5 linked regions of the Ovis aries genome follow. The protein of the gene in region 4 binds, or shares a complex with, the protein of the main gene of each other region. Links are inferred from orthologs where the notes say so. Each region holds a gene or a part of one and is shown on either strand. Other genes may lie near its edges. The genes, in order: IRF2, BANP, ZBTB16, IRF2BP2 and VGLL4.

Region 1 (5,542 bases), on a different chromosome or scaffold from region 4:
CTGCAGTTTTACAATGATGCTAGTCTTAGGCTCCCTCTCCATGTAGCCTGGTTTCTTTCTTTCTTTTTTGTTTTCTGCTCTATTTTTTTTTTTGGCTGTGTGGCCTGGCATGCAGGATCTTAGTTCCCTGACCAGGGATCAAACCCATGTCCCCTGCAGGGGAAGCACGTAGTCTTAACCAATGGACCACTAGGGGAGTCCCCTTAGCCCAGTTTTTATTGCCAGACCTTCTTAGGAACATGATTTGGAAGGAGACAACATGTCTTCAGTCACAGCCCTTTTGCACAATGACATCTTGGTACATTTTCTGGAAGAGTTGTTCAACAAGTTTTATTAGTAAGATTGACAAGGATTCTTTTCCCTCGATCACTTCCTCCATGACTTTCACTACAAGTCTCAATGAAAAGGTTCAAATCAGAGCCCTCTTTTAAAATATATATATATATATTTATTTCTGTATTTGGCTGCTGTGGTGTGTGGGATCCTTTGTTACGGGATGCAGGCTTCTCTCCAGTTGCAGCACACAGCTTAGTTGCTCCACAGCATGTGGAATCTTAGTTCCCCAACCAGGGATCAAACTTGCATCCCATGCATTAGAAGGCAGATTCTTAACCACTGGACCACCAGGCAAGTTCTTCGAACTTGAGTCCTCTTAAAGCACTTTTCTTTTTGCTGTACCCAACAAACACAAGCCTGCTCCAGTTTCCTGAAGGGCCCAAAGTCTTTTCTGCTGGTGGCTGGTCTCCCTTCTCTCAGTTATCACAAATCAATCCTTTGTCTTCTGCCTTCTTCTCCATCCTCTCATCCAGCCTTTCCCCCAATACTAATGTGATTTCTCTTACTAAACCACCAACAACATAATAAATAATCCCTGTTCACACACCGGAATCTTTAAAAATAAAAAGGACTCTTCTCTAGAGTTTCCCAAGGTTGGGCTTTGGGACGTCCGGTCCCAGAATAAATTTTCATGAATCCAACTAAAATTTCACGTTGTCTTCAAACAACATAATGCAAGTGTGCGTGTTCAGTAGTTAAGTCATGTTCGACTCTTTTGTGACTCCATGGACTGCAGTCCACCAGGTTCCTCTGTCCATGGGATTTCCCAGGCAAGAATACTGAAAAGGGTTGCCATTTCCTCCTGTAGGGTCTCTTCCCAACCCACGGGTTGAACCCACGTCTCCTGTACTACAGGCAGACTACTTACCACTGAGCCACCAGGGAAGCCCACAGCGCAAGTACGTCCACTCAAAGAAACTGTCCCTTTTTTTGCTCAACATCACATTTAGACCACGGAGAAGACTGACTTGCAACAATGAATGTGGTTTTTGTAATACTACTGGGATTCTATTTCAATGATCAGTAAGAAGGAAAAAAATAGCAAACAACTGCCTCCAAATACCAGTTTCCTAAATGAATGAAAGTGGTTAGAGGAGGCTGAAATTCACTTGAATAGTCCAAACAAAGGGACCCTGTCATGAAAAACAGGCAAACAGCCTATTTTTTTGTGGAGACCATAAACTTTAAAAAGGAACACAACCAAGAAGCTGTCTTTCCTAGCAGCAAGCTATGGAATTCCTGACTGAAAGATTTTAGCTACCCATGGTCAGGAACAGGTAAGTTTCTGGTGTGTCCTGGGTTCTAGAAAAGTAGTAGTGATGACTTACCTTGGCTCTATCCAATAAGCCTCCCTGCAAAGGGTTCTGGAGAATTCAGACAATGAAAACAATGGAAAGAAATAAAGGCCAGGCTGAAACACCAGGCTCTGAGCAAACCCCCGCTGCCTGCCAGCCTGGCACTAAAATCCTTCTTTTCAAATCTTGCAAATGTCCTGAAAAGGGTAGTGACATTTTCATTTCTCTCTGCATGAATCAGCTGTTCTTGGGATTCTTCTGCGAAGGCAAAATGCTACTGCTGGCAGAACAGCAAGAAGAGGCCCTTCCAGAATCCCCAAGAACACTTCAGAAAACTCTTACTCAACAGATAAATAGAAAAGTTGATTCTAAAGCACTAACCCCTTTAAAAACAAAACAAACAAACAAACAAAAAACGATGTAATAATGCCTACAGTGCATGAGACACCAAGTCACACATTTTCAGCCATGGTCAGGGAAACAAAAGCAAAGTGGCTGAGAGTTTCAGGTTTCAGTTATCTCCACTGTAAAATCAGGGCAAAAACACTTGGCTCTGCCTCCTCTGGTTGGCCCTTGAGATCCTGGCATGTGGACTGCTCTGAATGGCAGAGCCCCTCGAGTTCCTGCAGGGCAGCATGGCAGTGCAAGGGCTAAGAACAGTATCAGCCACGCGTGGGTCCCACTGTGCAACAGGTTGTCCATCTCTGGACACACTGCTTCACCCCAGCAGCCTTAGATACTTAATTTTTAAAGACATAATAATGACAGTACCCAGGGTTATTCTCCTGACAATTAAATAAGCCAGTCAACATCAAGCACTTAGCATAGTTTCCAGGGCACAACGAACACGCAACAAACAGTATCGTTACAGTTTCTATTACAGGGACTAGTACACACAGGAGTTCAAAATATGTTTCATGAATAAATAACTGATGACAAGCTTAGCCTGTTTGGCAGATTATAGGCCTCTTGTAGCCAAGGTTGCTTCTCACTTTCCTTTTATGTTTGCAGCACAAAAGAAAGTCAGGACCTTGAGGACATTCTGCGAAGTGAAATAAGCCAGTCACAAATGAACCAATACTGTATGATTGCACTTATATGAGGTACATAGAGTAGCCAAATGCAGAGAGACAGAAAGTAGAAGGGGGACTGCCAAGGGGCTGGGTCGGGGGGCAGGGGATGGGGAGTTACTGTATGTCAGGCACGAAATTTCAGTTTTGCAAAGTGGAAGAGTTCTAGAGATGGACGGGGTGCTCCTTGCACAACACTGTGAAGGCACTGAATGCCGCTGAAACGTGCACTTAAAAATGGCTGAAGTGGGGGGACCTCCCTGGCCGTCCAGTGGTTACGACTTCTCGCTCCCACAGCAGGGGGCATGGGTTCATCCCTCCGCGAGGAACCAAGATCCCACATGGCACAGAGCATGGCCAAAAAAAAATCATAACAAAAAGGCTAAAGTGGTAAATGTTATACTACGGATATTTCACCACAATTGAAAAAAATTAAGTTGACATGGAAGCAAGTTGGGGTTCAGGAAGCAGAAGGTTAATTTAGGGGCTGCTAATGTACAAACAATGTGTCACATGAATCCACCTAATTCTGAAGCCGACTCTGTGCCAGTCACTGGGGTGGTGCCCAGACTGAAGGACAGGCTACTGGCAGGACATAAAGAGCCCTGGGAAGAATTCCTGACCTGAGCGACTGTGGTTATCCATCAGAGGACATCCACTTTTTACCTGTAGTATCTGCAAGGAATAACCCTGACTCAGACCTTACATTTCATAATTATAACCGAGTCCCAAAAAGTCAAGTGGAGATCATCAGAAGGAGGACGTAAGACGTAATATTGGTGGAGGAAGGGAGCCACCACTTTATCCTCTAAGGATGGGAGAGCCCGCTGAATCTGGTCCTAACACTGTGACATCGGGGCCAATTTCTGCCAGTCTGGGGACATTCCCTAGAGAGTTCAAAATGCCCAATGAGAAGCTCTGCTAAACTGAAGAAGTGGAACCTATGTGGAGATGACAAGGAAACTTGGCAGAACGAGAGAATGGAACGTGGGGTCTGCAGATTCAGTTCAAGTTCTGACCCAAACACTTACTGGCCTGGAGCAATCCCTTCACTTCCCTTCACTTCCGATGAAGGAACTGCAAGAGGTGATCCCTAAGGTCCTACCCAGGTGGGACAAACTCAGATCCCATGAAAAACACCCTTCCAAATTTCTGATAATGTGTACAAATAAAACAGACACAGATGAACTGTTACACTGGCCAAAACTTTCGTTCAGGTTTTTCTGAAACATCTTTCTATAACATCTGTAAAATCGAACATACTTCCCCCCCAAAGAAATCTTCTAATTTATAAGTCATGTGTGAATATGTTATGGGCGATCAAGTGAAATGTGACCAAGACGTGGTACTGTGAACAAGTGTCTAAGAAAATGTTGCTTGAGAACATTAAAGCCAGAGTAATTCCAGCCAGAGTAATCCTTAGGACGGAGGAGAGGTTCTCTGCTGTGCTGGCAAAATGTGTTAGACTAAAGGACCTCCCTGCCTTGTTCCTTGTTCAGTGGCAGAGATTCTGACCCACCCACCTCCTTACCTGCGTAGGAAGACACGGGGGAGATCTGCAGGGGGTAGAGCTCACTCATGCTGACTGGCTGCTCATCGCTCTCGGTGGTCACCTCCACAACTTGGCAGATGTCCGGTGGGTTAGTGACAATCTCTTGATCCTCATAGGTGCCGTCCAGATGTGACTGTCCTACAACTTTAAAGAAAAGACGGCCATCATGTGCCACCATCCCCAGCCTACACCATCCTGGCACGCACTCTCAAGCAAGAAAACCTCCCCCGAGAGAGCCCAGGAGCTGGAGTCCCAGTTATCAAATGTCATCTGCCATGAAATAAGAACAAGCCTTCGCTTTGGGTTAATGTCCCTGGAGAAGCAGCTTGCCAATAACCTGGCTCCCCAAGGCTGAAATAGCCCTGCCAACGGTGCTCACGTGTGGCAGCACCCCAAACTCAACCTGCCCAGGGCCAAGGCTGCAGGAGCAGGGGCCGCATCCAGACCTACCCCAGGGTGCAAGAGGGAACACTGCTTCGAACCTGACCCGTTTCTCTTCTCTGCTCCTCCTCTAAAGGAAGCTGCTGTGCTAGTTTCTGGGTCCTGGGGTCCAGAGAGCTCATCAAACTTTAATAAAGTGGAAGGACCACCAAAATCCACCCTATTGTGTCATGTCTAGCTGTGGGATGCTCTGTTCATACTCTCCGCCCTCCTCCTCCTCTGCAGGCAAAGGATGTCATATCGGAACGACTGAAAAGACTGCCTTCCCAGTTCTAACACACCTTCGCAGCATCAGCTCCTCAAGACACTTGACAGGATGACCACCTTGGCTCTGAATCCTGCCTCAATCTTTTTTTAAATCAAGCTTTTCAGTTTGAGATCACTGGAGAGTCACGTGCAGTTGAGAGATAATACGGAGATCCTGCACACCCTTTGCCATGTGTCCTCCAAAGGTAACACCTGATAAAACTATCATACGGTATCAGGATATTGACACTGATAATCATGCGTCTTGTTCAGATTTCCTTGTTTCACTTGTACCCCTTTGTGTGTGTTTGTGTGTATACTTAGTTCTGGCAATTTCATTACACACGTGGTTTCATATAGCCACCACCACAGTCAAAACACCCAACAGTCTAATCACCACAAGCATCTTCTATAACCGTTATCCACCGTCCTTCAGCCTCCTCCGCTTGTTTCTAACCCCTGACATCCGCTCATGTGTTTCCCGTTTCTGTAATTTTTGTCGTTTCAAGCATGCCTCACAGATGAACTCACACAGTAACCTTTTGAGATGGGCTGTTTTCACTCAGCATAATTCCCTGGAGATTCATCCAAGTTGTTGTGTT
Region 2 (5,542 bases), on a different chromosome or scaffold from region 4:
TGATGCTGGGAGGGATTGGGGGCAGGAGGAGAAGGGGACGACTGAGGATGAGATGGCTGGATGGCATCACAGACTCGATGAATGTGAGTCTCAGTGAACTCCGGGAAATGGTGATGAACAGGGAGGCCTGGCGTGCTGTGATTCATGGGGTCGCAAAGAGTCGGACACGACTGAGCGACTGAACTGAACTGAACTGAACTGAGACCCCTGACACCTCCAGATCTATCAGGGAACAGCACGGCATGCCAATCCACACAGACCACGTGGGATTTCTAAGAAATAACCATTATGAAAATCCGTGGCTGTCTGCAGTGAGGCACAGAAGTACTCTGGTAAGAAATCAGAGCATATGTCCAGTGCAGCCCTGGGCTCTTATCAGAAGGAAGAGGACTCTGGCCCCTCAGCGCCTATGAGCTAATGCCACTTCTCCGATAGGCACTCTCCAGGCCTGGCGGGTCAGTCCAGGGAGGGTGTGGCAGGGAAACAGCTAATCCCCTGCTCAGGGCATCTGAATCGCTCAGATGTTGACCAGACAGCCCGTGGCAGCTCCACAGGACTCGTCCTCGCCACTTAGGCGCACGCGCCATCTCTGCTCCGTCTTCACAAACCCCAGGCCAACCGAGGACACTCAACCTGACACTCAGGACACTGCAACTGCGGGGGGACCTTCCAGAGGACAGTGGTAACCTCCTACTCAGACCCCCAGAAAACCTGTACTTTTTCCCTATAGATAGTAATACTAAGAAGCTCAAACTGTGATTCTTTTATGTACATTCACATCTGACTCACATTAATCATACCACATTAAGAAACAAAAGAAAATATCTTCTGTTTTTATGATAATCCCAGACTCCCCCAAATGACCCCATGTCATGTTTGGAGCCGATGCCATTTAAACCAAACAAATCAGGTCTAAAGTAAGTAGCCAGATCTAGGGAGGTTAATTTACCCAAAACCCACATGGATGAAGAATAAGAACTTTCTCTGCAGCTGTTGCAAGTGTAATTTTCATTCGCCGTCCACCAGGATGAAGTCAGGAGCACCTCTCTTCCTCACATTCAGTAAGTCATAGAGTAGCACCCCTGACCCAGCAATTCCACTCCCAGGTATCAGCCCCAGAAAAATGAAAACACACGCAAAAACCTGCACACAGATGTGCAAAGCAGCACTGCTCACGACACTCAGAAAGTGGGCACAGCCCCGGTGCCCACTGACGGGTGATGGACAAACAGCACGTGCCTCCGTGATGGGCCGTCATGCGGCCAAAAAGAAGAATGGAGCACCGGTGCGCGCCACAGGAGGGTGCCAGTGCTTCCCTCAGGCGAAGCCTGCACGACCAGCAACCCGAGACAAGAGGCTGGTCAGAGGCGGCGGGACGGAGGACGGGGCACGGGGTCCTGCCATGCGGTCTCTCTGGGGAAAACACCCCGGACTTAGACGGTGGTGCTGTGCACTCTGTGAACGGACTAAAGCCTGCCAGCACGTCTGCTTTAAGATGGTCAGTTTCATGGAATGGAAACCTTCTGCCCGTGCCCACTCTGACATCTCAATCCTGCAACTTCTGTTAGAGTTAAAAAGAACTTTGTTTTCAACATTTTAATGTGGTAACAAGTCTTTCAAATGGGACAATCTTTGTCTGTAGAAAAATCTACACTTTTAGGAAAAAATCAACAATTTGGACAGAGGAGCAGAAACACCCCACTAGCCCTCTCTAGTTAACAAACTACAACTTAAGAACTTGGTGACACGATGCTACATCTGCCGAGTAATCACATCTCTTTCCAGGCGCTGTCATAAGGCCTGTTTGGGAAACATTAACTCAACCTTCGAGAGCAGGATAGAGCTGCCAGGCGGCAGGAACTCTCTGGAGCACAACCAGGCCACCTCCCAGACCCAGGGCCAAGTGACAGTGGACCCCAGACCCCACAGGAGAGAGGACGGTCCCCCTACATCACATTGGGCAGGGGCGGCACAGCTCCCAGCATGGCCTCGACCTGGACACACAGTCCCTCTGAATGGAAGCCTGACCCTTGTCAGAGACACAGGACAGAGCTGTGGTAAGACAGGTGAGCCGACCACCAGCTATCAAGTCACAACTGCCCATCACCAGAACCAGATTCAGCTAGTGAAACTGATTGAAAACGATTATGTAAATCAGTATTAACATGGAGAGATTTCTACCATGCAGTGAGGAGAAGCAAGTTATAGGATGGTAAATACAGCATGTGATTTGTAGAGCTCTCTGGGCCAGAAATGTTTCCAGTTATTCTCACTTCCTTCGTCATTTTTATATTTTATCATCTTTCAAAAGCAATAAATATCTATTACTTTTCTAAACAACGGGGGGGAAAAAGCCTGAGCCCTGTGGGCATTTCACTCTCCACGTGGTCAGAAATTCACACATCACTGCCAGTCATCCCTCTCCGTGGTCGCCAGTGAGCAGTCCACGTGTCATGGGCCCTGCGGCTCCAGCCCATGCTGTTCAAGGGCCACTGCACACCCGTTACCTCACGTGTGGAGAGGACGCACCTTCCGAGTTCAGGGTGATGAGGGTGACGTTGTTGCCGATGTTCTGGCTTCCTGACTGCCCGCAGTTGGAGACGGAGTCGCTGGCCTCAGACCCGCTCTCCCCATCCTCATTGTGGCTGTCCTCCTGACCCGGCACCTTCACCACGATGGTGTTCTGCCGACGCCCGGGCACCGCGCTGCGCGGAAACAGAGACACCAGCAGCGTGGTGAGAGCACGCATGGCAGCACGCGGAGACAGTTCTGCACGCACGCTCCCCCTCGCATCCCAGAGAGGCGTATCCCGGCACGCGCGCCGCGCCACCAGCCTTCCCGCAGCTCTTCCTGCTCACGGTAACAGCAGGAAGCAGTCTGCGGCTCCAAGAAACTGCACGAAACTTGAAACGTTTAAAGAAGTGAAATCGCAACAGGCTGTGACTTGAGGCCGGGCCTCCCATCACGGAGCGGGCCCTGCACAGCACTGCTGTCGGGGTCATAGAGACTTCTGGGAAAGCGTCTGCAGACTCAGATGACAGCCCCGAACTGCTCCGTCCCGGGACATTCTGAACAAGATGGCCCGGGAGGACGCAGCTCTTGCTCCCAACTGTCCCCCGCTGACAGAAGCCGCTCGAGCGGGCTAACAAAGCCAGTCAAGAGCCTCCTGGGGGACCCTCTCACCACCACAAGGGACCCTGATGTGGAGCAGTGAGACACCGCCAGGAAACCAGACCACCACAGCTCCAAAACATGCTCAAAATAAAAAAAAAATTTATCTGGAGACATGTGACCCTTCGACTTCCTTCAAGAGACGGCTGCACCCAGGGAGGGGAAGCAGTGAGAGGTCCCTGCTCGAGGGGGCTCCATCCCGGGGGTGGGGGTCGGGGCTCCATCCCGGGGCTGGACCTCACTAAATGCTCTGGACCTGCCATGACCGCCACCCTCGCCAGGCCCGTCTCATGGGCTGTCTGCTCTGTGGCCTTGGCCCCGTGTCTGCACCCACCTCCCTTGGCCGGGCTCCTGGGGGCCTGGGCCACAAGGAAGCAGCAGGACTGCTGCAGGAGGGCCTGCGAGACTCGCTGGGAAGCAGCATGGCGGGGCCAATGCCACGGGGAGGGGGGGCCCTGTACATGAGGGGCAAAGATGCCCGCCACGCACCCTCGCCTCAGCTTCAGGTTACAGCCAAAGCGTCTCCAGAGAAAGGAGTGGAGAAGGCACCACCTCTACATGCCTCCACCACTTTGCCAATGAGACGGGGTGTCCGCCGACCCGACATGCTCGGACAGACAGACAGACAGATGGGAGTGAGGTGAGAGGACAGGGCGCGCGGACCACAGTGAGCACACAGGGCCCGAAGACACGGGCGACCTGGACGCCGCCCCGTCCCCGGGGCCCGGCAGTGGTGGTGAGAGGTGGGGGTCGTGCTACTGACTTGCTAATGACATTTTCCAGGGGCTCCGGTGCCCTGCCGCTCAGGGGGTCTTCCATCTTGGCTACAACGGCGTTCTGCCGATCACTGTTGAGAATTACTGTAGTCTGGGGGACGACGCTAGGGAACAAAAGAATCACAGAGAAAAGAAGACCTTAACACGACAGCGTTCATGGAGAGCAGAGTCATCAACAGTCAGCGCCCCTGCCCTGCTCCAAGCAGGGGAGGCCCAGCAGGGCTCCCGACGTACATGAGCAACACCGGCAGAGGGCCAGCTGGGGCGGTGGGGGCTTCTTAACAGAGTCTAAGCCTGCTCCTAGTTGGTACCAGCAGGAGAAGTGGCTTAGGAACGTTCACATCTTTACGGAGAAGAGACAGGTGTCACAGCTGTCACTCTACAGTCAGGGAATTCCCTTCTGAAATCTAGGCTTTCAGTCCCTTGCCAGGTGAGAGTGCTGTGCGCAAAGGGACAAACCTTTGTAGCAGGGGCCACGGGTGACTGCACAGCACTGACCACAGGGTTCTGCCAGGCCAGTGCAGGACCCACAGCCCAAGGCTGGAGACTGTGCTTTGAAGAAAATCGTGCTCAAAGAACTGTGCCCTGACAGGGGCTGTTCCTCAGGGGAAATGTGTGTTTAAACACGTGGGAGACACAGTCGTCGAGACTTCTTGCTCCTGAGACCTCCAATCCTCGGTGCTTCTGGCCACGCCTTGTGCAGAAAGAACAGGTGGTCAGGATGCACAGCTATGTCACCCGGGAAGAAAGACATCCCTAGACCTCACCCCAAAAGATCAGCGCTGGGAAGACCCTGTTTTTACAGGCGGAGCACTCACATACCCCAAAGCATCCATGAGAACCCCACCCCACAGTCCCAGACACATACTGTCAACACTCCCAAAATCAGAGGTACAGATGGTGCCATTTCCTGCCACTTGACGCAATGAATCACAGGACCATGGGGTGTTTTCCTAAAATAAACCACAGTCACTGTGCTCCATTCACAGCCGTTACCATCTTCTCAGTTATTCTACTCAGTTGTCAGTGACACCCAGGTAATCCCCCAGGCCCTGACAACCCACCCACAGGTCAGCATCATAGGTGGCCAGGTACCGAGGTGACATGTACGGGCTCCTATGTGACGGCCTCAGCAACGCATGTGTCCTAACAGGAGATGGGATTTTCCCAAGTGTGTTCCCGGAAGGCTGCTGTCACCCAGGTCCCCACACAGAGACACCCATCTCCTCACCCCAGTGGCGTGTGAGCCCTTTCACGGGCTGAGAGGTGAGCCACAAACAACAGGTTAAAACAGGCTCACACCAATGTCTGGTAGAATCGTTTACTAAACGGGCCTCTGCTTCCCACAAGACCTCAAGGTAGAGGGAACACTAGTCTGAGGCAACCGCTTCAAGCTGGAGCAGAGGCAGCCCAGGGGCACCTGGCTCCGTAGGTGTGCAGGGCCCTCAGTGACTCAACCCCCTGAGGCCCTCCTTCCAGAAGGTACGGCGTCCTAAAGATGACCCCTAGGACAGCACCTCTGGCCAACGTGGTTGCTCCCTCTCACAAAGCCTCCCCTCAACCACACCAAGAAGCCCTGTCCACCCAGACGTGAG
Region 3 (6,080 bases), on a different chromosome or scaffold from region 4:
GCAGCGTGGCCGTGTATGCATACTCCAGAATCTGCTGGAAGGTCTTGGGAGACAGGAAGTCCAAAGTATAGTGCTGGCTGTTGCGGTGGAAGAGGATCTCAAACATCTTGCTGGTGCAGGCCAGCACAGTCCGGTGGGCGTGGAACTCCTGGCTGTCCACCATGATGACCACATCGCACAGCGTCCCGGCCAGCCGCATCTGGTTGGCCTTGCACAGGAGCCCCGTGGGGTGGCTAGGGTTCTGCAGCTGGATCATGCCCATCTTTGTCAGATCCATGGTGCTCCCCGAGGCTTAGGCATGAGGCTCTCTTTCCTTCCTGGCTCTGCGTGGCGGGGCAGGGTGCGTTTCCTGGGCCAATGGCAAGGGCTAGAGGGGAGAAATGAGGAAAGAGGCAAAAGAGATGCAAGAACAAAAGATAGATTAGTTACTGTCCCTAAAAGTAAGAATTCAATCAATAGCCCCTGCCCCAAACCTGCAGCAAGACAGTCCTGGAGATTTTAACAGGGGGGAAGGGCTTCCTAGAAATCTACATGACTGCCTTTACAGGCCCAAGAATGATGGGAGTAAAGAGAAGGTTCTGCTGTATAACACAGGCCTAATTCACTGGTCTATGACATCTGTTAGAAGAAGTAAAATGAAAATTACTGTGGAGTCTTGTGAGTCCTGAGCTTTAAATCTGAGCGTGGGGGGCTCCTGTGCAAAGTCAACATTGATTGTGAGAAGATGCCCAGTGCTTAACTTAAATGAGTAAGAATTTAACCCCCTCTTCTAGTCAGTGTAAGCACTCAACTTCACTTTCAACCCCCTGTGCAGCAAATCTCATCTTCAAAACAAAGTTTCTCTAAATCCTGCCTCATTGTGGTAGCCCCAGGAACAACACCTAGCCAAGCTGGGGCTAGCAGCCTAGAGTAGCAGCTCAAAGAAATCTACAGGCAAGGTTCTCCTCCTCCAGCCCACCTTTTCACTCTCAGTTAATGCCTTCCTGGGTTTCTACCCTTCCACTCTTCTCAGGGTTGCCAATGGCTGATGAACCCACGCCCTGACCCTCTCCTTAAGCCCTAAGAGAAATACACACACATAGTCTATGAACTAGCTTGGCTCACTCCCAATCATGGGTACCTCAAAGTGACTGTATAAGTAATCCAAAACCTCAGCTGTGTAGTGTGCATGTATGTGCGTGCACCAGCCAAAGAAACAGAAACAGTTAACACACGTGCGTGCGTGCATGCTCAGTCGTGTCCAACTCTTTGTGACCCCATGACTGTAGCCTGCCGGGCTCCTGACCACGGAGTTTTCCAGACAAGACTACTGGAGTGTGTTGCCATTTCCTCCTCCAGCGGATCTTCCCCACCCAGGGGTTGAACCCACGTCTCCTGCATCTCCTGCATTAACAGGTGATTCTTTACCACTGCACTACCTGGGAAGTCCCAAGCACACGTGTCCACACTTACATTACGTGCCACACTTATATAATGTGCTGCACTTATCTCCTGCCCACAAGTGCCCAGTAGTGAGGAGGACCTGTAATATGCAGGCTAGGGATTGAAGGGCCTACAGAGAGATCCTAGAAAACAGGTACCCCTAAAGCCAGGAGTGCATGTGCTGGGAACACAAACCCCCAGGATCTCCCACAGGCTCCCGGGAGTGGGCAAGTCCCATGACCCAAAGAGGAATTGATGCTGGACTGCTACACCTGGCTCCAAGGGGTGAGAGGTGATATTGGCACCAGCATCTATGGTGTGAGTTACCAGCATGAAGGGAAGATTGAGCTGGAGACAAAGGCCTCTCTCCAAGTGCTCTTTGCGATCAGTAACAGGGCTCTGGGTCTCCCAAACCTGTCTAAAGCGTGTCTGAAAGATCTCACAGGCCCAAGTCCCTCCCAGCCTCGGCCTTGCTGTGGCCAATATTGCTGTGAAATCAATTGGGAGCAACGCAGAGCAAGGGCTCTTCCTCTTGGAACACTGCTGGCCTCCGCCCCCAAAGGGAACCCTATTGACTCCAGGCCACAAATCTTACTTAGAAAGGGTTAACAGGGCAGTCAATCAAGAAGACACTTCTGCTCCCCACCCTGGGGTGAGAACGGAGGCCATGGGGGGGGGGGGGTGACCATTCACAAGCGCCTTGCCACCATGCGCTTTCCCCGCAGACTTTGGGTTTCAGAGAACTAGGAGGTAGGAATCGAAAGAATGGAAGCTAGTCTACCCGAATTCCTTCCCCAAAGCAAGCACCGTGGGTCCTGAAGGAAATCAGGGTGCCCTGATCAGCCGTCCCCGAAACCCGAGGCTCGGCGCCCGGGAGCCGGCTGGTGCTGGCTGCAGCGCCGTGCCCCTCGTCACGGCGGAAAGCCAGCGCTAACCAGCTCGAGCTCCGGGGATCGATCGCGCGCTCACACCTTCCCGCCCCTCACCCCCCACCCCGTTTCCAGCCACCCCCTCCGGAGACTTGGAGACGACTTCAGCAAACTTGGGGAAGCAACTTTTCCGGGGAAACCAGATGGCAACGAGAAAGGGAGCTGGGTTAGGAAAGAAGAAAAGCGAAAGAGACCCGGGCGAAAGGCAAGAGTTCAGGCGGGCCGAATGCTGGGGCGAGAGAGGCGAGAAGGCGGACTCGCCTTGAGGCGAAGGGGAAGCACAAAAGCCCGACGAGTTGTGGGAGGAAAGGCGAGAAGGGATCTGAGGGCCCTCTCTCTCCAACCCAGGGCGGGGATCCCCGCGAGCGGCGGACAAGGTCCCCGGCCTCGGGCGGGTGGCGCCAGCAGCAGGCGCGCCCGGCCCAGGCACGTTGCGAGCGTTCCGGGGAGCGGCCAGCGAGTCGGTGCTGAGCGCGTCTGTGCGTTCCAGCGGGTCCGCGGGCCGGCGAGATCGTGCGCATTTCGAGCGCGTGCGGGAGTGTTCGAGGGGCTGTGAGAGCGAGCTGCCGGCGCGCAGGGGTGGGAAAGGCATCCCGAACGCATCAGGTGCAGAGCGGAGCACCCACCGAGCGCGGCCGGGAGCGCACAGCGAGCTCCGGCGCCACAGCCGGTCCCGCCGAGAGCCGAGGAGGGCCCGGAGCGCTGGAGACACTCCAGCGCTCCACCACGGAGCCCCTCCCCCCCAAAACCGGGGGGATCAAGTCCAATCAAGAAAAAGGAGCCCACCACGTTTTCCAAAGAGAAACAAAACCCAAGTGACTCCCAGTCCGGCTCCCCTCCGCCCCCAAAACCACTCCTCCGATCCTAGCTTCCCAGCTGGCGGGAGAATAAACACACAAATAAACCACAGCCCTATCTCGCGCCCGCGCACCGGTCGGCATACATATGAGCACCCACAGGCTCCCGGCTCCTCCGCCGGCCCCTGGTGGTACAAAGCCTCCTATTCCCAGCCCTGCGCTTGTGACCCCCGGCCCCGCAGACCGCTCTGGCCCCCACTTCTCACCCCGACTGTGCCCTGGAGTGGAAAGGTTGGGGAGGCAACTGCGCCCAAGCTGACAGCCAGGGCTCCCCCTTCCAGCCGACCCCCAACCGCCGGCGGCGACGGCTGCAGCAGCAGGAAGGGAACAAGCCGAATAAAATAAGGCAGAAGCCCAGCGGTCGAGTGGCCGAAGCGAGCGCGCCCCCCCCCCCCCCCAGACCTCTCCAGCCCTGGGGTGCCTGGGCGCAGAGCTATCTCTGGGCAGTGCGCCTCTCCCTGGCCTCCAACTCACCGCTGCCGAGCCGGGTGCCGTGGGGTGGGTGTGCGTGCCTCTTGGGGGTGTGTGCCTCTGTCTGGGAGGGGTGTTGCTGGGGAACTGTTGCTCTCGGTATCACGGCGGTAGCGGCGGCATCGCCCGGCAGTTCGCAGTACCCGCTCTCATCGCCCTCAACTCCTCTGTGCTGCGAGGTTAGCAAATCACCACCGGCTGCGGCGCCTCCGCCGCGTCCCACGTCAACGCCGAGCCCCCTCCCCTGCGAGGCCCCGGCGCCTCTCCATCTTTAGTGCTGGCGGCCGAGCCCGGCTCCCTGCCCACAGCTGCCCCCCTTCCCTCCCCCCTCCCGCGCCGTTCCCCGGCTCAGCCCGCCCACCCCCCCGCACTGGCCGAGCCCGCGCGCGCTCTCCGCCCCACCCCTCCCCTCCCCTGCAGTCCCCCTCCCTTCCCCGCGCGCCGCGCGCCGGGCTTCGCCTGACATCTAGCTGCTGCTGGGGCGCTGGCGGCCGCCGCTCACCGGCCAGGCGGAGAGGAGAGGAGGAGCTCGTGGAGAGGCGCACCAGGGATTTGGGCGTCTCAGTGGGGGCAGTGGAGATGAGGGGCGAGGAGCTGCCCCCATCTTCAACCCCCAGAATTTTAATCTCCAGTGGGAACAGGTTTTGTGTTTCCCTGCTGCTTCCAGGCTCAGAATTTTGTTCTCCCAACGTTTGCCCCATGAGTGCGTGTCATCTCGCCTTTCACTTTTTTCTCGGGGCTCGGGACGGCACCCCTCGACCCCGCCGTCGTCTTTAGAAGCTCGTTTTCATGGTACCCAAGCCCAGCGCTTTGGGGCCTCCAGGCCTTCTGAGCATCCAGACTGCGATTCGCCTCCAGGCGCAGAGTTCGCGGGCCCAGGGGAACCGAGTGCCAGAGGCTCCCGCGGGGATCTGTCGTCGAGGGGAGACGCCCCCATTTTAGCTGTCGCGACCCCTGGAGGCCAAGATCGAGGCGCGAGGGAAACTTCTTGCCAGTCTTGAGCATCCGCTAAACTTCCCCCCCGCCCTTTGCGCCGCCGCCCCCCTTCCCCCCGCCCCCGGCCCCCAGGGAACCTTGGCTGGAAGCAATTCCGCAAGAACTGAGCTCAGTTCGGGACAAAGTCTTCAGGGGGCGGCGAGTGAGAGCCTGGAGAAGCTCCAGGCTCCCCAAAGTGCCTCCTCTCTGCTGATCGCTCCACTTTAGAGGGCGGAGCTGAGGTCAGGAATCCCTAGAGCAACCAGAAGACATGCGCCCTTCCGCGGGCTGCGGAGAGCCCCCATCTTCACCCTTTCCTTGGAACTTGGCGAAGGTGGTGGGCGAGAGGTGGAAAACGCCCTTCTTCTGGGCACACACCTTGACTTCCGGCTAGGGTGAGGGTAGTGGTGGAGAGCGCCCTCGCTGGGTCTCCAGACAGTCGTCCCTGGAGGTCATACAATCTTCGCAATGCGGGGCTTCAATCACGGAATCTGGAGTCCCCACCCTGTCCCTGACAAGGGGGTGGGTCAAAGGCTTCCCACCAGACACGCATGAGTGTATCCCGATGCGCCCTCTGGCACTGCCCCAAACCGAGGGTCAGGCCCCAAGAATTAAAGCGTCTTGGAAGATGGCAGAAGCCCGCTAGAGGCAAAAATCCACTTCCGGCCTGGCAAGGCCAGCTGGCCAGAGTTTCCATCAGAACTGAGCCGAGTTCACAAGAGCTGCTAACGGACCAGACCCGAGAACAGGCAGCTCCATCCCAGCAAGCCCGTCCTTGTCTCCTCGCAGGAAAAGTGCTCAGACCTGCCTGCAGGAGTCGGGGGAGAGAAGCCACTTGAAAGTGAAGAAAGGGAGTTAGTTACACCGCAGTGTCTGACGGATGCCAGGGAAAACCCAGTCCCTGGGTATTCTGATGAACAATAAAGAGCAGTCTATGATAGGGCTACTTTTCTAGCTAAGATCTACAGTCTGTAAGAGGAAAGAAATTTAAGGAAAGTTGAGAAAGAACTGGTGTGATAAACAACAAGGATTTACTGTGTCGTACAAATGGCTCAGAGGTTAAAGCATCTGCCTGGAATGCAGGAGACCCGGCTCGATCCCTGAGTTGGGAAGATCCCCTGGACAAGGAAATGGCAACCCACTCCAGTACTCTTGCCTGGAGAATCCCATGGAGGGAGGAGCCTGGCAGGCTACAGTCCATGGGGTCGCAAAGAGTCGGACTCGACTGAGTGACTTGAGGACGACGAGGACGACAGGACCACGAGGACGACAGGTAACTATAGGGGTTTCTGGTTGGCTCAGACCGGAAAGAATCTGCCTGCAGTGCAGGAGACCCAGGTTCAGTCCTGGGGTGGGGAAGGTCCCCTGGAGAAGGGAATGGCTCCCCACCCCAGTATCTTGCCTGGAGAATTCCATGGACAGAGGA
Region 4 (6,188 bases):
AAAAAAAATCACCCCCCCCCAAATAAACCCCCCCCCACAGTCCTGAAAATCTCTCAGCAGCAACTCTCAGGCAGTCATCAATAACCTAACAACTGAACTTTAAGAACAAAATCGAGAAAGATTCACAATCGATTTCCTGTTACTCTGAAAGGGCAATGTTTGGGGGGAACTTGGTGACATTTCTCAGTGGCATGCCCACTTCACAACACTGCCCCTTTCCTCATTTCCTTTCCTTCTCCACCAATTGGCCTCCAGCCTGAGAAACGGGCCAGCAGTAAATAACAACAGACAGTAAGGCAATCTTACAATGTCAGAAAATGTATTTGGCTTTTTTTTTTCTTTTTAAAATAAGTGCATACAAATACAGCTAGAAGCGTTTCTGCTTTGCCAAGTGCTCTAAAAAAGCAGCGCAAGTCACAGCCTACATTGAACGGTAACTGTCACCAGGATAATAAAGCACAGAGATATGCTAATAACATTAACAAAAGAAGAAAATGCTTTTATAAGTACATACCTTTTGTCGTCAAAAAAAAAAATAGAAACACATGTATTCAAAAAAATCAAAATTATACAGCCATGTTTATGAAGTCTACATTTCCCTTGTCTTGGATATATATATATGTGGAGATATATATACAATTCAAGCAGTTTTAGTTAAGATTAATCATTGGGTTTTTCTGAAACCGGAAAGTCACGAGTCTCTCTCCTTTTTCACTTTCACATCTCCAGCAAGGATGGTTGCAATCTCCCCTTGCATGAAGGCCCAGGGGACATTGGAGCCCACAAGAGGGCATTTTTCCCCACTGGGACAATAGACCTCTCCACTAGCTCCCTGCTGTTTGATGCTTTGTCTGGAGCAGGGGAAGCAGAACTTGTGCGAAGGAACAGAAGGGCACTGCACAAAGTGGGTGTCCTCCAGCCGCTCATGGCAGAGGGTGCAGCACAGCGGGGCGCTGGCGGCCAGGGAGGAGTCTGGGAGGCTGGCGGGGTGCACTGGCTCCAGTCCTCCGGCGCCGCCTGCCCCTGGGCCCCCCACCTCTCGGGGGCCCAGCCTTCTTTGGTTCATAGAGGACGGAGAGGGTGGACTGCTGCTGTTCCGTCTGGTGGTGGAGTGCACCTGGTTGGCATCTTTCGAGGCATGACTGCCCCCTGCATTGTCTGCTACCAAGATCAGGGCTGCCATGGGGGACTGGCCGTTCTGGGCCGCTTCAGGCGGTGTGGTCCGGTTGGAATGAGGTGAGGCAGTGGGTGGTGGTGGCGACACAAAAGAGGATGCAGGAGTGATGGGGATCTTGAGCCCTTCTGTGGATGTAGACAGCCACGGCTGGGCCTCTCCATTGATCTTAGGGGGCCCGACTTCACCTTCTGGCTCAGGAGAAGGCTTCCTTTTCCTTGCTGTTCTTGCAACTGGAAGAACAAAGATAGAAAAGGGGAAAAGAATAAATGAACGTGCACTAAAAAGGATCTTTCTTTCACTAACACACAACACAACCCTCTGAAGAATTTCTATTCTCCAAAGTTGGTACAGAAAAACCAAGTTTCAAGAGCACGTGCAACTTAAACCACTTAGACTGAGAAGGCTCTGAGGCAGTCTAGCAGTTAAAAAAAAAAAAAAAAAAAGGCACGGAAAGCACTGCCTGTTCTTCCACAGGCCTGCAAGTACCCAGGCTGCCCTGTGCACATGAGAGTTAACGCCCCCCAATCCCCCCCCCCCCCCACCCACCCTCAGGTTAAAAGGTGACTGGTGCCCTCATGCTCGCATCCAGGAATGTGCTGGGAAAGGAAAGCCCTGTGTCGCTGCCTATCGGTCCATCTGACTCATCTCTGTTATGCTGCTTCAGCAGAGGAACACGTTGCCACTAAGCACTGGTTCCGCCTCGAGCAGATCAGGAAGTTGGATGTTTGCTATTTCTGGGCCGGGGGAGAACGGCCAATAGGAAGAGCACCCCCTCCTCGGCTCTCAAGCCCCGCTTCGCCCCTAAACCCCCTCACTCCACAGCCGCCCCTACCTGCTTTAGACCCGTTGGCCCCGTTGGCCTCGAAACCCAACAACCTGCCTGCAGTCAGGGCCGGCTCCTTCTTAAACTTGCTCTCGAAGGGCGCCGAGTGGCCGTGCTGGTGCAGCGCCAGCAGCGTGTCTCGCACGGTCTTGGGCCGGTTGACCCAGTCCTGCTCGCCCGGCCCGCGGCCTTTGCCTGCGCCCTCGCTGCCCAGCTCGGCCGCCCCGGCCGCGGTGGACAAGCTGTCGGCCGGGCCGCGGTGCGAGGCCGCCGGCGGCTGCTTCTCCTTGGCCGCCGCCTCGCGCTGCTCGTGCTCCGCGGCCGCGCTGCTCGACACGGACGCCGGCCGCTTGTGGGCGCCCATCTCGGCGGGCTGCGCCGAGCCCAGGCCGGCGGCCGCGGCCCCGGACACGGCGGCCAGCGAGGCGGCGGCACGGCCGCCCAGGCCAAGCGCGGCGGGCAGTGGTGTGGCCGAGCCGTTCATGAGCGGCACCAGGGTGGGCGGCACGGCGTGGCCGCGCCGCGGGTTCGGGCTCTGGCGGTTCAGCTCCGGCGGCTCCTCCAGCTTGGAGAAACCGTTGGGCACCAGGATGCCGTTCACAGGCGGCGGCTGCGGCGTCGGCGGCTGGGCCAGGGCGGCGGCCGGGCGGCTGCCGCCGAAGTCGGAGCCCAGGCGCGGGGGCCGCTCGGCTGCGGCGGCCGCCAGAGGGTAGCGCTCCAAGGCCTGAGGAGCGCGCGGGGCGGCCTCAGGGCCGCCGTGGCCGAGCTGCTGCTGCTGCTGCAGGAGAAGGTCCTTGGCCGAGAGCGGCGGCGGCTTAGCGGCGGCCGGGGCCGCGGCGCCGGGCGGGGAGCGGCCCTCCGGGAAGCAGCCGTGCGCCCGCTTGAGCTGCCGCGCCGTCTCGATGACGAACTCGACGCGGTCGGCGCCCTCGTAGTTGACGCAGCCGCGGCACACGGGCTCGGTGAAGTCCCAGATCATGGCCCAGGGCATGCGGGGCAGGTCACACAGGTAGCACGACTGCCGCCGAGACGCGGCGGCCACCGCCACAGCCGCGGCCATGTCCGAGGAGCCCGCGGCGCCGGAGGAGGAGGAGGAGGAGGCGGAGGAGGAGGGGGCGCCGCCGCTACCCGCCGGCACCACGCGCGCCCTCCTCCCCCCCCAACCCCGCGTCTCCCCCACCAGCGGCGGCGGCGGCCGCAGAGGCGGCGGCGGCGGCGGCAAAGCCCGCGAAGGCTCGGCGCCCGCGCAGCGCCCCCGATGCACGAGGGGCGGCGGGCGCGGGGCGAGGGGCTGCAGCCGCGGCAGCACGTCCCCCCGGCCGGCGCGGGCTCGGGCGGGCGGCGGGGCGGCGCGGCGCGGCGGGCGCGGCGGCGGCGGCGGGGGCTCGGCTGGAGCCGCGGCTGGCCTCCAGACCGGGGCGAAGACGGGCCGCGCGGACGCGGGGGAGCGCAGCAGGTCGCGGCGGCAGCTGGCGCGGAGTGCGGGGCGGGGGGCGGGGAGGTTGGGGGGGCGGGGGGCGGGGGGCGGCCGCCGGGGCAGGCTCAGCCCGAGCGGCGGGGCATGCCGCGCCGGGGCGGCGGCGGCGGCGGCGGCGGCGGCCGGGCGGCGCGGAGCTCGGACGCGGCGCGGACCCCGGGTCGCTCCGCTGCTCTCTCACAGCTCCTGGCGTCGCCGCTCTCCAGCGCCCGCGTCAGCGCCCAGCCCGCCTCAGCTCCGCCGCCGCCGTCGCTGCTGCTGCTGCCGCCGCGGCCGCTCCACTTCTACAGACTTGATTCTTCGACAGCCTCGCAAGGCGCCTGCGCGGGCCCCCTCCCCTCGCGCGCGCGCCCCCCCCCCCCCGCCCCCTCCCCCCGCCGCAGAACGGGCGCTGCTGGGAGAGCCGGCTCCTCTGTGCCCGCCCTCCCGTCCGCGCCGCGCCCTGTGTCCCCGACGTGAACGCGTGGCTGGCGCAGCTTGTTTCCCTGCACCCGCTCCGCTGCCTCGACCACTCGAGCCGAGTTCCCTCTCCTCCAGATCCGTTTAGAGCAAACCGTGTAAAACTCGTGTTTTGAAAAGCAAGGCCACTTTGTAACTTGGTTCTGTCCGTTTTTAAACATCTTTTAAGGAGCTTTATTTGAACTCTTCGGCAAGCGCTTTTACACTCGCATGGTCTTGGGGAGGACACAGGCGCCGCCGGTCCCCTGAAGTTTTACTAAAAGAGGGCGTGCTCTCAGGCCTAGGATCGAGTCCACCCGCCGCTTCTCGGAGCCCTTCCGGGAGGGAGCGGCAGCACCGCGCAATGCACCCCGCGCTCCCTCCCGGCCGGCCCTCGCTACAGCGCGGGGGTCCCGGCCACCTGGCGCAGGTTCGCGCGGCAGCCGCGTGACGTGGGCGCGGGGCCGCGGGCCGCGTGCGCCGCCGCCGCCGAGTGCGCACGCTCCGCGCAGACGTGACTCGGCGCCGCTGGCACTGGCGGCTCCATTGAACGAATGCACATTCCAGGGATCCGGGGTCAGCGGCCAAAGAGGCCGCGTCACCGCGCAGGCTCCGCCCCCCCGCCGGCGACTCTAGGCCTCCAGGCCCCGTTCACGGGGCCAAACTTGGACTCCAGGTGGCGCGGGGCATGGGCACGAGCGGCGGTGGGGTCCGCGCGCGCTTGGGGGTGAGCGGCAGGCTGGCCTGCGGGTCACGCGGACCCGGCAGATCTCAGCCATTCCCGGCCCCGCTGGGTGGGCAGGGCCGACCTCGAGCCCACCACACCGCCCAGGATGGGGTTAGGTGGGTGCAAACCCGCCTGGCGCGAAGGCGACATGTGGGTGCAGAGCCAGCCAGTCTCGCCGCGTTCTGCCACCGTTGGCAGCCACAGGCTGTGCCCAGACTGAATTGAGCACTTGAGTTTCACACTTTTATCGGGAGGAGGAGCTGGCGTGTGTTATGGTAAATCACTTTTGGCTGGTCGTTAGTCTTTCTGACTAATAGACGCGGGCTTAGTCACTCTCAGTTGGGACCTTTACACTTCAGCTCTGGAAGGGCGGCCTCCCGAGCTTCCTTTGTTGGAAAACAGGCCCACCTCTCTCCCTGAGACTGGAATGAGCTGGTTAAGTGTGGGAAGAACAGGGTACTAATTATATTATCTTCCCTACAACTGGATTGGTAGGTGGAGAGAGAAAAAAATCCTGCTGACGTTTCTCTCTAGTTGTTGCTATTGAAAATGCCAGGTTGCCTCAAAGAATTAACCACAGGGAAGAGGAAAAACACCCTTAGAGAAACAGTGGAGGGAGCTGCTTAAAGCACATGAGAAAATCTGTTCGAAAATGGCACAGAAAATGTAATGCCAGAGCTAAATGTTTTTGCAGGCAAAGCCTGAATGTCTTGTGGGGATTTCCAGAGAAGGTGCGCCTCCATAAAGGTCTCCCCAACTGCTCCCGGATCTTGCCCTGCAATTACAATCCTGCCTCACCCTTTTCTAACTGGGAGGATAGGACCCCGATCCCCAGCAACTGGTGGATTTGGCCACACCTGGTCCCTGCTATCATGCACCGTTTTCAGGACCTGTCACTCTCCTAGGAGACCCAGAGCCTCTCCTAGCATGTAACTTAAGCCACTAGGGCACTAACCAAAGGGAATAAGACCCAGGCTCTGTGCTGTAGAGAGATGAGCCATCTCAATACCCCCAAGAAGTGGCCTCAGTAGGTTGGGGTGGAAATATTAAAAGGAAACAACTCGGGGTTACAGCCACGGCCTAATTTTACTCATTTACCTGCAAGCAGGCAGGCACTGTAATATCCTCGTGGGACAGCCTGTCGCTCTATCCCAAAATAGAAACACTGAGCTCCAAATTCTGCCTTGAGGGGTACTAAGTCAGGGTTTTTATGGAACAGAGCTTTTCTTCTCCAAATGAAGAGCATTTCCTTTTTATTTTACACTACCAGTTTAGTGTTGAAACTTCAAGTTGTTGTAACTTCCCTAACGAAATGCCCACTGGAAGATGGAAAGGTTTGTTTTAGTTCTGGTTTCTCTTGCCATAAAAGGATCCGGAATCAAGGGGGTTAAGGCTGGCCGTGGGTCCAGAGCAGCAATTCCTTATATTGTATCTAAAGTCTTTCATGCTGCCTGGCCTTTCATGTCTCTCCGAAGCAGCTTTATCGATGTATGCTAAGTAAACAGAGCTTTGTTTTCGTCTTCCACCCACCGCCCTCCCTCCCGGC
Region 5 (5,542 bases), on a different chromosome or scaffold from region 4:
GTGGCAGGAAGAACAGGTACATAATTCAAGTCACAAAGCAAATTAATAGAAGGGCTGAAAGGAGAAACCGGGCATTTAGACTTCTCAGCTTTCACGATCTTTCTAGCTGCGCAGGATGCTTTACAGGTCAAGGCAAGGAAGCGGGAGGAAGACAACTGGAGGAAGCAGGAAAGAGAGCAGAAGGGGAGGGTGAGGGCAGGAAGGGGGGCCTGAGGGGCTGAATCCTGCCCCCGAGATTCGTATGTCGCAGTCCTAACACCCCAGTGCTCAGAATCTGATTTACGTGGAGACAGGGTCATACGGGAGGGCACCCAGACAACACGACTGATGTCCTTATGAGAGAGAGTACACAGACACACACAGAGGGAAGACCTCGTGAACGTGAAGACAGACGTCTACAAGCCAAGAGAAGAGGCCTCACGTGAAACCGACCCTGCCAACACTCGGATCTCAAAGTCCAGCCTCCAAAACTGAGAGAGCAGCCGTCTTCTGTGTAAGCCCCGTGTCCGGGGTACCCTGATCCAGGAGCCCAAGCTAACTGAGGAAAGGAGGGCAGGAGGAGGGAAGACAAGGAAGCAGGGAAGAGGAGGGCAGGGCTGAGACCTGACTCTGCTGCAAAGACAGAACAGCTCTGGGACAGAACCGCTTCCAACACTTGGTCTATCCCAACTGACCTATCCCTAGTGGGACCGGTCAAGATGCGAGCAGCATAACTCCTTGAGGCCACTTCCAGATTAGAGCCTGCCTGAGAGGGGAGGGGCCAGGTGGCTGAGCAGAAAGCAAGAGGACTTCCTGGCTCGTGACCTGGAAAAGTGCAGACACAGCCTGAGCTGTGTCTCAGCAAGAATATTCGCAAAGGGGAGAGCAAGGCTCTCTCTGAAAAGCACAAGTATAGGGGAGGGTCCCAGAGATGCAGCCGGGGGCGGGGCGGGGGGCTCACTCTGACTGTTGGCAGGGGTAGACAGTGCAGACAGCTTCCAATGGTTTCAAACATCTGTCATTCTTCAGAGGCAAGAGGAGAAGGGGCAGAAAGAAAATCCCACAGAAAGGACAAGAATTCTGTAATTCCTAAATATCCATTCTAAATATACCCTCGGACGCTTTAGTAAGGTAAAGAGAAATAACCACCTGATATCAAAAAGCACTAACTGGGATTTCCCTGGTGGTACAGTAGATGAGAATCTGCCTGCCAATCCAGCGGACATGGGCTCAACCCCTGGTCCAGGAAGACCCCACATAGTGGCAGGGCAACTAAGCCCATGCACCCCAACTACTGAGCCCACGTGTCCCAGAGCCTGTGCTCGGCAGCAAGCCACGAGAACCCCAAGCACAACAGAGTCTCACCCCGCGCGCTGCAACTAGGGAAAGCCCGGGTCCCGCAACAGAGACCCATCGCAGCAACGCCCGCCCCCCAAATAAAGAGGCACTAATTGAAAATAGTGTTAGTCGCTCAGCCACATCCAACTCTGTGACCCATGGACTGTAGCCCAACAGGCTCCTCTGTCCAAGGAATTCTCCCGGCAAGAATACTGGAGTGGGTAGCCATTCCCTTCTCCAGGAGACCATCCCGACCCAGGACCTCCTGCCTTGCAGGCATTCTTCTACTGTCTGAGCCACCAGGGAAGCCCTGAAAATATTTTTAAGTAAATTTTTAAAAACTGCTATGTTTGCATTCCTATGTTGCTGTTCATTTACCTAGCAGGTTTTACATCATTTAAAATAACCGTGTGGCTACACTGTAAAGCAATTATACTTCAAATAAATAAACCAATCAAAAAAAAATTTTAAACTTTATCTCCAAAGATCAATACTCTTCCAAATCAGTTTGCAATCTACTCGATTATATGAGAACTTGAAGGTTCCTCTCCCACTTAATTTGCATGAGAACTGATGGCCTATTTTAAAATAAGTATAAATGGAGTGCAACCTTTCAAAAGGTGTGATCTTGGGACTTCCCCGGTGGTCCAGTGGCTAAGACTCCATGCTCCAAATGAAGGGGGCCGGGGTTCGATCCCTGGTCGGGGAACTGGATCCCACGTGAGACAGTAAGAGTTCACAGGCTGCGACTGAAGACCCCGCGTGACAGCAAAGATCGAGGCTCCCGCACGCCGAAGCCAAGGACCTGGTGCGCCCAAAGAAATAAACACACACTTGAGAAATGAATAAATTAGCAGACAGGTGTGACCTCGGCCAAGTCTCTCCACCTCTCTCGCACCTCTGTCCTCAGCTACCGTGGGAGATCACAGTGAGCATCAGTGGAAATTTGCAGGAAGTTTCCAGCCCAGAACAGCCACCTGTTCCATTTCATCCTTTGCTACGACTCCCACAGAGAGGACGAAAGGGGACTTCTCCAGGGTCACTCCCGCTCTGTTGGCCAGAGGTCAGCGGGTGAGCCGTGTCCCGCCAACTAACAGCAGATCATCGCCCCAGAAGATGGGTCAGGGAGGGGCCCCACCTGACCACCGGGAGGCGGCAGGCCATCTCGGGGCAGCTACCTGACTGCCTGGACTGCCGCCACGTGTGTTAAAAAGACATAAACCCACACAGCAGCCCCGGCCTGTCTCAAGGAAAGTTGAGACACGGGAAAGTTGGCACAGCGCCCAGAGCTCCAGTGCCCCTCCAAGCCCCAGGCACACTTTCCACACCCTCGCTGGTTCTGGACACCTTCCCTGCTCCCCCAGAATGCGCTCAGAATTCCTTGTGACCAGCGCAGCCACCTCCACTTTCCAAGCCCAACCCCAACGTGGCCTGCTGCCCCAGAAGCATCTCTTGTAAAACGGCCCGGTGGAAGCTCCCAAACTACAGATATTTTGATCAACACCATCGTGTTTGCTATAGTCTCTCGAGAGGCAAACAGGTACAGTCTGGTTCCCAGAAATATATATGTTCTAGTCCAGACCTGAAGGAAGACGACGAGGCTCCCAGGAACCAATGCAGAATTCACACGCGAACTGCCGTCCGCACTCCTGAAGGCCAGGCTGGGCCCGCCTACCCCAACACGGGATCTCACGCCAGCTCCGAACCCCCGCCACCGCGGAAGCCTGCAAGTCGCTGGGGTGTGGCAGACACCCCAAGTCCAGCATCTCAGAAAGCCCTTCTGCTGTCCGCACAGAGGCGGCAATCCACCCGATTCCTTATCGTTGCTCCACAGGCTGGGTTCAGGAGCCAGAGTGAATTTTCCAAGGATTAAAACAGGACACAGAGTTCAAAGACTCCACGATGCCGAGGGTGAGCGCAGCACGGGGATCTCAGGCACCCATGTGATCTAAGCGCCCAATCCCCGTGAAGACCGGTAAAATAAGCAATTTAAAGGAAGATCTTTGTCAGCATTGTCACTCAAAGATCCAAGTGCCCAAGGGCATAATTCTATTTTCTCCAACTCTTTGTGTCAAAATAATTTTAAAGCTACTGGAACTGTAATGAAAAGTGAATATCCTATTCCCCTTACCTTGATTCATTTTGTCTGTCTACACATATCCAGCTTTTTTTTTTTACTATAATTGCTCTAATTTGCAAGGTAACTTGCAGACATCATACTGCAAGCACTTCAACTGTCTTCTCAGAGCGAGAAGAGTCTCCTTCACAGACACAGAACCATCATCACACCCAAGAAAGCTAAAGCTGGCATAATGTCGTTATCTAATATCCAGTCCAGATTCAAATTTCCCCAACTGGACTGTCTCAGAAAAGCAGGGGGATGAAGCAGACAGAATCCAGGATCCAATCAAGACCCTGGGTGACAGAGCTGCCGAGTCTCTAGTTTCCCAGGGACTTTTTCTGTCTTTCTTCCTCTTCTGTGTTTTTTTTTAAATGATATCTTTAAATGAGTGTGTGAGTGCGCAGTCGTGGCCATCTTTGTGATCCCATGGACTGTCTCCCTCCAGGCTCTCTGTCCATGGGGTTTCCCAGGCAACAATACTGGAGCACGTTGCCATTTCCTCCTCCGGGGGATCCAGGCCAATGAACTGCCCTACAGTTTCTGGTGGTCTGATGATTTCCCCGTGATTCGATTCAAGGTGAACGTTTTCGGCAGGGAAACGAGAGGAGGTGTGCCCAGCATGTGGCCTCACACGGGAGGCACCTGATGCCTCAGCGTACCACCTCGGGTGACAGTAAGCTCCACTGCTTGCTTAGGGTGATGCTCACAGAATTTCTCTACCCTAAAAAAAGTAACCTTTCAGAGTAACATGGGTGTGAGCATCCCGTCGGGTTTCCCAGGTGGCTCAGTGGTCAAGAACCTGCCTGCCGATGCAGGAGACACACAGGCGATGTGGGTTTGATCCCTGGCTTGGGAAGATCCCCTGGAGAAGGAAAGGGCAATCCACTCCAGTATTCTTGCCTGGAGAATCCCATGGACAGAGGAGTCTGGAGGGTTATAGTCCATGGGGTCACAAAGAGTCGGACACGACTGAAGCACCTCAACACATCTTGTCATGCTCAATCTCCTTCAGTTCAGTTCAGTCGCTCAGTCGTGTGACTCTGCCACCCCATGAACCACAGCAAGCCAGGCCTCCCTGTCCATCACCACCTCCCGGAGTCTACCCAAACTCATGTCCATCGAGTCAGTGATGTCATCCATCCATCTCACCCTCTGTCATCCCCTTTTCCTCCCGCCTTCAATCTTTCCCAGCATCAGGGTCTTTTCCAATGAGTCGGTCCTTTGCATCAGGTGGCCAAAGTATTGGAGTTTCAAGCTTCAACATCAGTCCTTCCAGTGAACATTCAGGGCTGATTTCCTTTAGGATGGACTGGCTGGATCTCCTTGCAGTCCAAGGGACTCTCCAACACAACATCTCATGCTCTGCTGCCCCGTTCTCTTGCCCTCAACCTTTCAAGCATCTCTTTCCAGTGAGCGGGCTCTTCCCATCTGGTGGCCCAAGTACTGGAGCTTCTAATTGCGAAGCGGTTTAGAATCCAGCCCCTCCTAAAGAAGGTATGGGATTGAGAACTGGCAGAAGAAAGGAAGAACCGTGGTTCTTTTGAAAGAGCTTTCGTGCCTGCCATGTTCAGAGCAAGAACTATGCCCCACTAAGGGAAACACAAAGATGTTTGAGATCTGATCTTTGCCTCAAGGAACAGCAGTTCTCACAGGAGCGATAAGTCACGGAGATAAATAACAGGTAAGGAAGAACTAAAAGCAGAAAGAATAGAGATGCTCTTGACACGAAGGAGTGGTGTGGCATACGAATCGTATCTCAATAAAACTGTTACCCCCCCCCCAAACTGCTGAGGACCACAGAGGACTTCTGCTACAAAGCTTCTGTCAACAATCACCATATTAGGAAGTGAAATGGAGGAAGTTTTCAAATAGTAATTTGAAGATAAAAATACACTCATTACAGGTTAAAAAGAAAAACTGAGAAGCTATGGACACGTCATATGAGGAAGACATCAATTCTAGCTCTAATAAATATACTCAGGAGTGGAATTCGAAAAACAGGTAGAATTTCGACACTTGGAAACTATGGAAATGGGCATTCCAGTTGGGGACAGCTGTGGGAATAAAGGCCGAGAGCAGGAATGGTGTCCTGTGTGTGAGAGG

The links.
Region 1: the proteins of IRF2BP2 (region 4) and IRF2 are in contact, whole or in part, in a crystal structure (PDB 8YTG), measured with the Homo sapiens proteins. The link is inferred for Ovis aries from reciprocal best matches to the Homo sapiens genes IRF2BP2 and IRF2. Residues at the interface, in NP_892017.2 of Homo sapiens: His517, Phe518, Val519, Gln520, Pro522, Phe531, Leu557, Trp564, Ala565, Phe566, Met567, Glu570, Thr573, Ile574; in NP_002190.2 of Homo sapiens: Arg331, Ala332, Ser333, Val334, Ile335, Lys336.
Region 2: IRF2BP2 (region 4) and BANP share a complex: the UniProt entries of both Homo sapiens proteins name them as parts of the corepressor complex. The link is inferred for Ovis aries from reciprocal best matches to the Homo sapiens genes IRF2BP2 and BANP.
Region 3: the proteins of IRF2BP2 (region 4) and ZBTB16 are in contact, whole or in part, in a crystal structure (PDB 8YTH), measured with the Homo sapiens proteins. The link is inferred for Ovis aries from reciprocal best matches to the Homo sapiens genes IRF2BP2 and ZBTB16. Residues at the interface, in NP_892017.2 of Homo sapiens: Thr516, His517, Phe518, Val519, Gln520, Pro522, Phe531, Leu557, Trp564, Ala565, Phe566, Met567, Glu570, Thr573, Ile574; in NP_001018011.1 of Homo sapiens: Arg285, Ser287, Val288, Ile289, Thr290, Ser291.
Region 5: the proteins of IRF2BP2 (region 4) and VGLL4 are in contact, whole or in part, in a crystal structure (PDB 8YTF), measured with the Homo sapiens proteins. The link is inferred for Ovis aries from reciprocal best matches to the Homo sapiens genes IRF2BP2 and VGLL4. Residues at the interface, in NP_892017.2 of Homo sapiens: Thr516, His517, Phe518, Val519, Gln520, Pro522, Phe531, Leu557, Trp564, Ala565, Phe566, Met567, Glu570, Thr573, Ile574; in NP_055482.2 of Homo sapiens: Arg161, Ser163, Val164, Ile165, Thr166.

The regions. Positions count from the first base shown.
Region 1 is NC_056079.1:14,058,213-14,063,754, forward strand, and holds part of IRF2 (interferon regulatory factor 2), read right to left. Parts: intron 4,398-5,542; coding exon 4,233-4,397; intron 2,674-4,232; coding exon of another isoform or gene 2,573-2,673; exon of another isoform or gene 1-2,572. UniProt on the Homo sapiens protein: Specifically binds to the upstream regulatory region of type I IFN and IFN-inducible MHC class I genes (the interferon consensus sequence (ICS)) and represses those genes. Also acts as an activator for several genes including H4 and IL7.
Region 2 is NC_056067.1:12,964,165-12,969,706, reverse strand, and holds part of BANP (protein BANP), read right to left. Parts: intron 4,052-5,542; coding exon 3,935-4,051; intron 2,706-3,934; coding exon 2,530-2,705; intron 1-2,529. UniProt on the Homo sapiens protein: Controls V(D)J recombination during T-cell development by repressing T-cell receptor (TCR) beta enhancer function. Binds to scaffold/matrix attachment region beta (S/MARbeta), an ATC-rich DNA sequence located upstream of the TCR beta enhancer.
Region 3 is NC_056068.1:24,302,077-24,308,156, reverse strand, and holds the start of ZBTB16 (zinc finger and BTB domain-containing protein 16), read right to left. Parts: upstream 3,926-6,080; 5' UTR 3,683-3,925; exon of another isoform or gene 3,415-3,682; intron 3,037-3,414; exon of another isoform or gene 2,978-3,036; intron 368-2,977; 5' UTR 278-367; coding exon 1-277. UniProt on the Homo sapiens protein: Acts as a transcriptional repressor. Transcriptional repression may be mediated through recruitment of histone deacetylases to target promoters. May play a role in myeloid maturation and in the development and/or maintenance of other differentiated tissues.
Region 4 is NC_056078.1:6,782,227-6,788,414, forward strand, and holds the start of IRF2BP2 (interferon regulatory factor 2-binding protein 2), read right to left. Parts: upstream 3,766-6,188; 5' UTR 3,061-3,765; coding exon 2,010-3,060; intron 1,408-2,009; coding exon 692-1,407; 3' UTR 1-691. UniProt on the Homo sapiens protein: Acts as a transcriptional corepressor in a IRF2-dependent manner; this repression is not mediated by histone deacetylase activities. Represses the NFAT1-dependent transactivation of NFAT-responsive promoters.
Region 5 is NC_056072.1:55,573,072-55,578,613, forward strand, and holds part of VGLL4 (transcription cofactor vestigial-like protein 4), read right to left. Parts: 5' UTR 3,084-5,542; coding exon 2,900-3,083; intron 2,123-2,899; coding exon 1,928-2,122; exon of another isoform or gene 1-1,927. UniProt on the Homo sapiens protein: May act as a specific coactivator for the mammalian TEFs.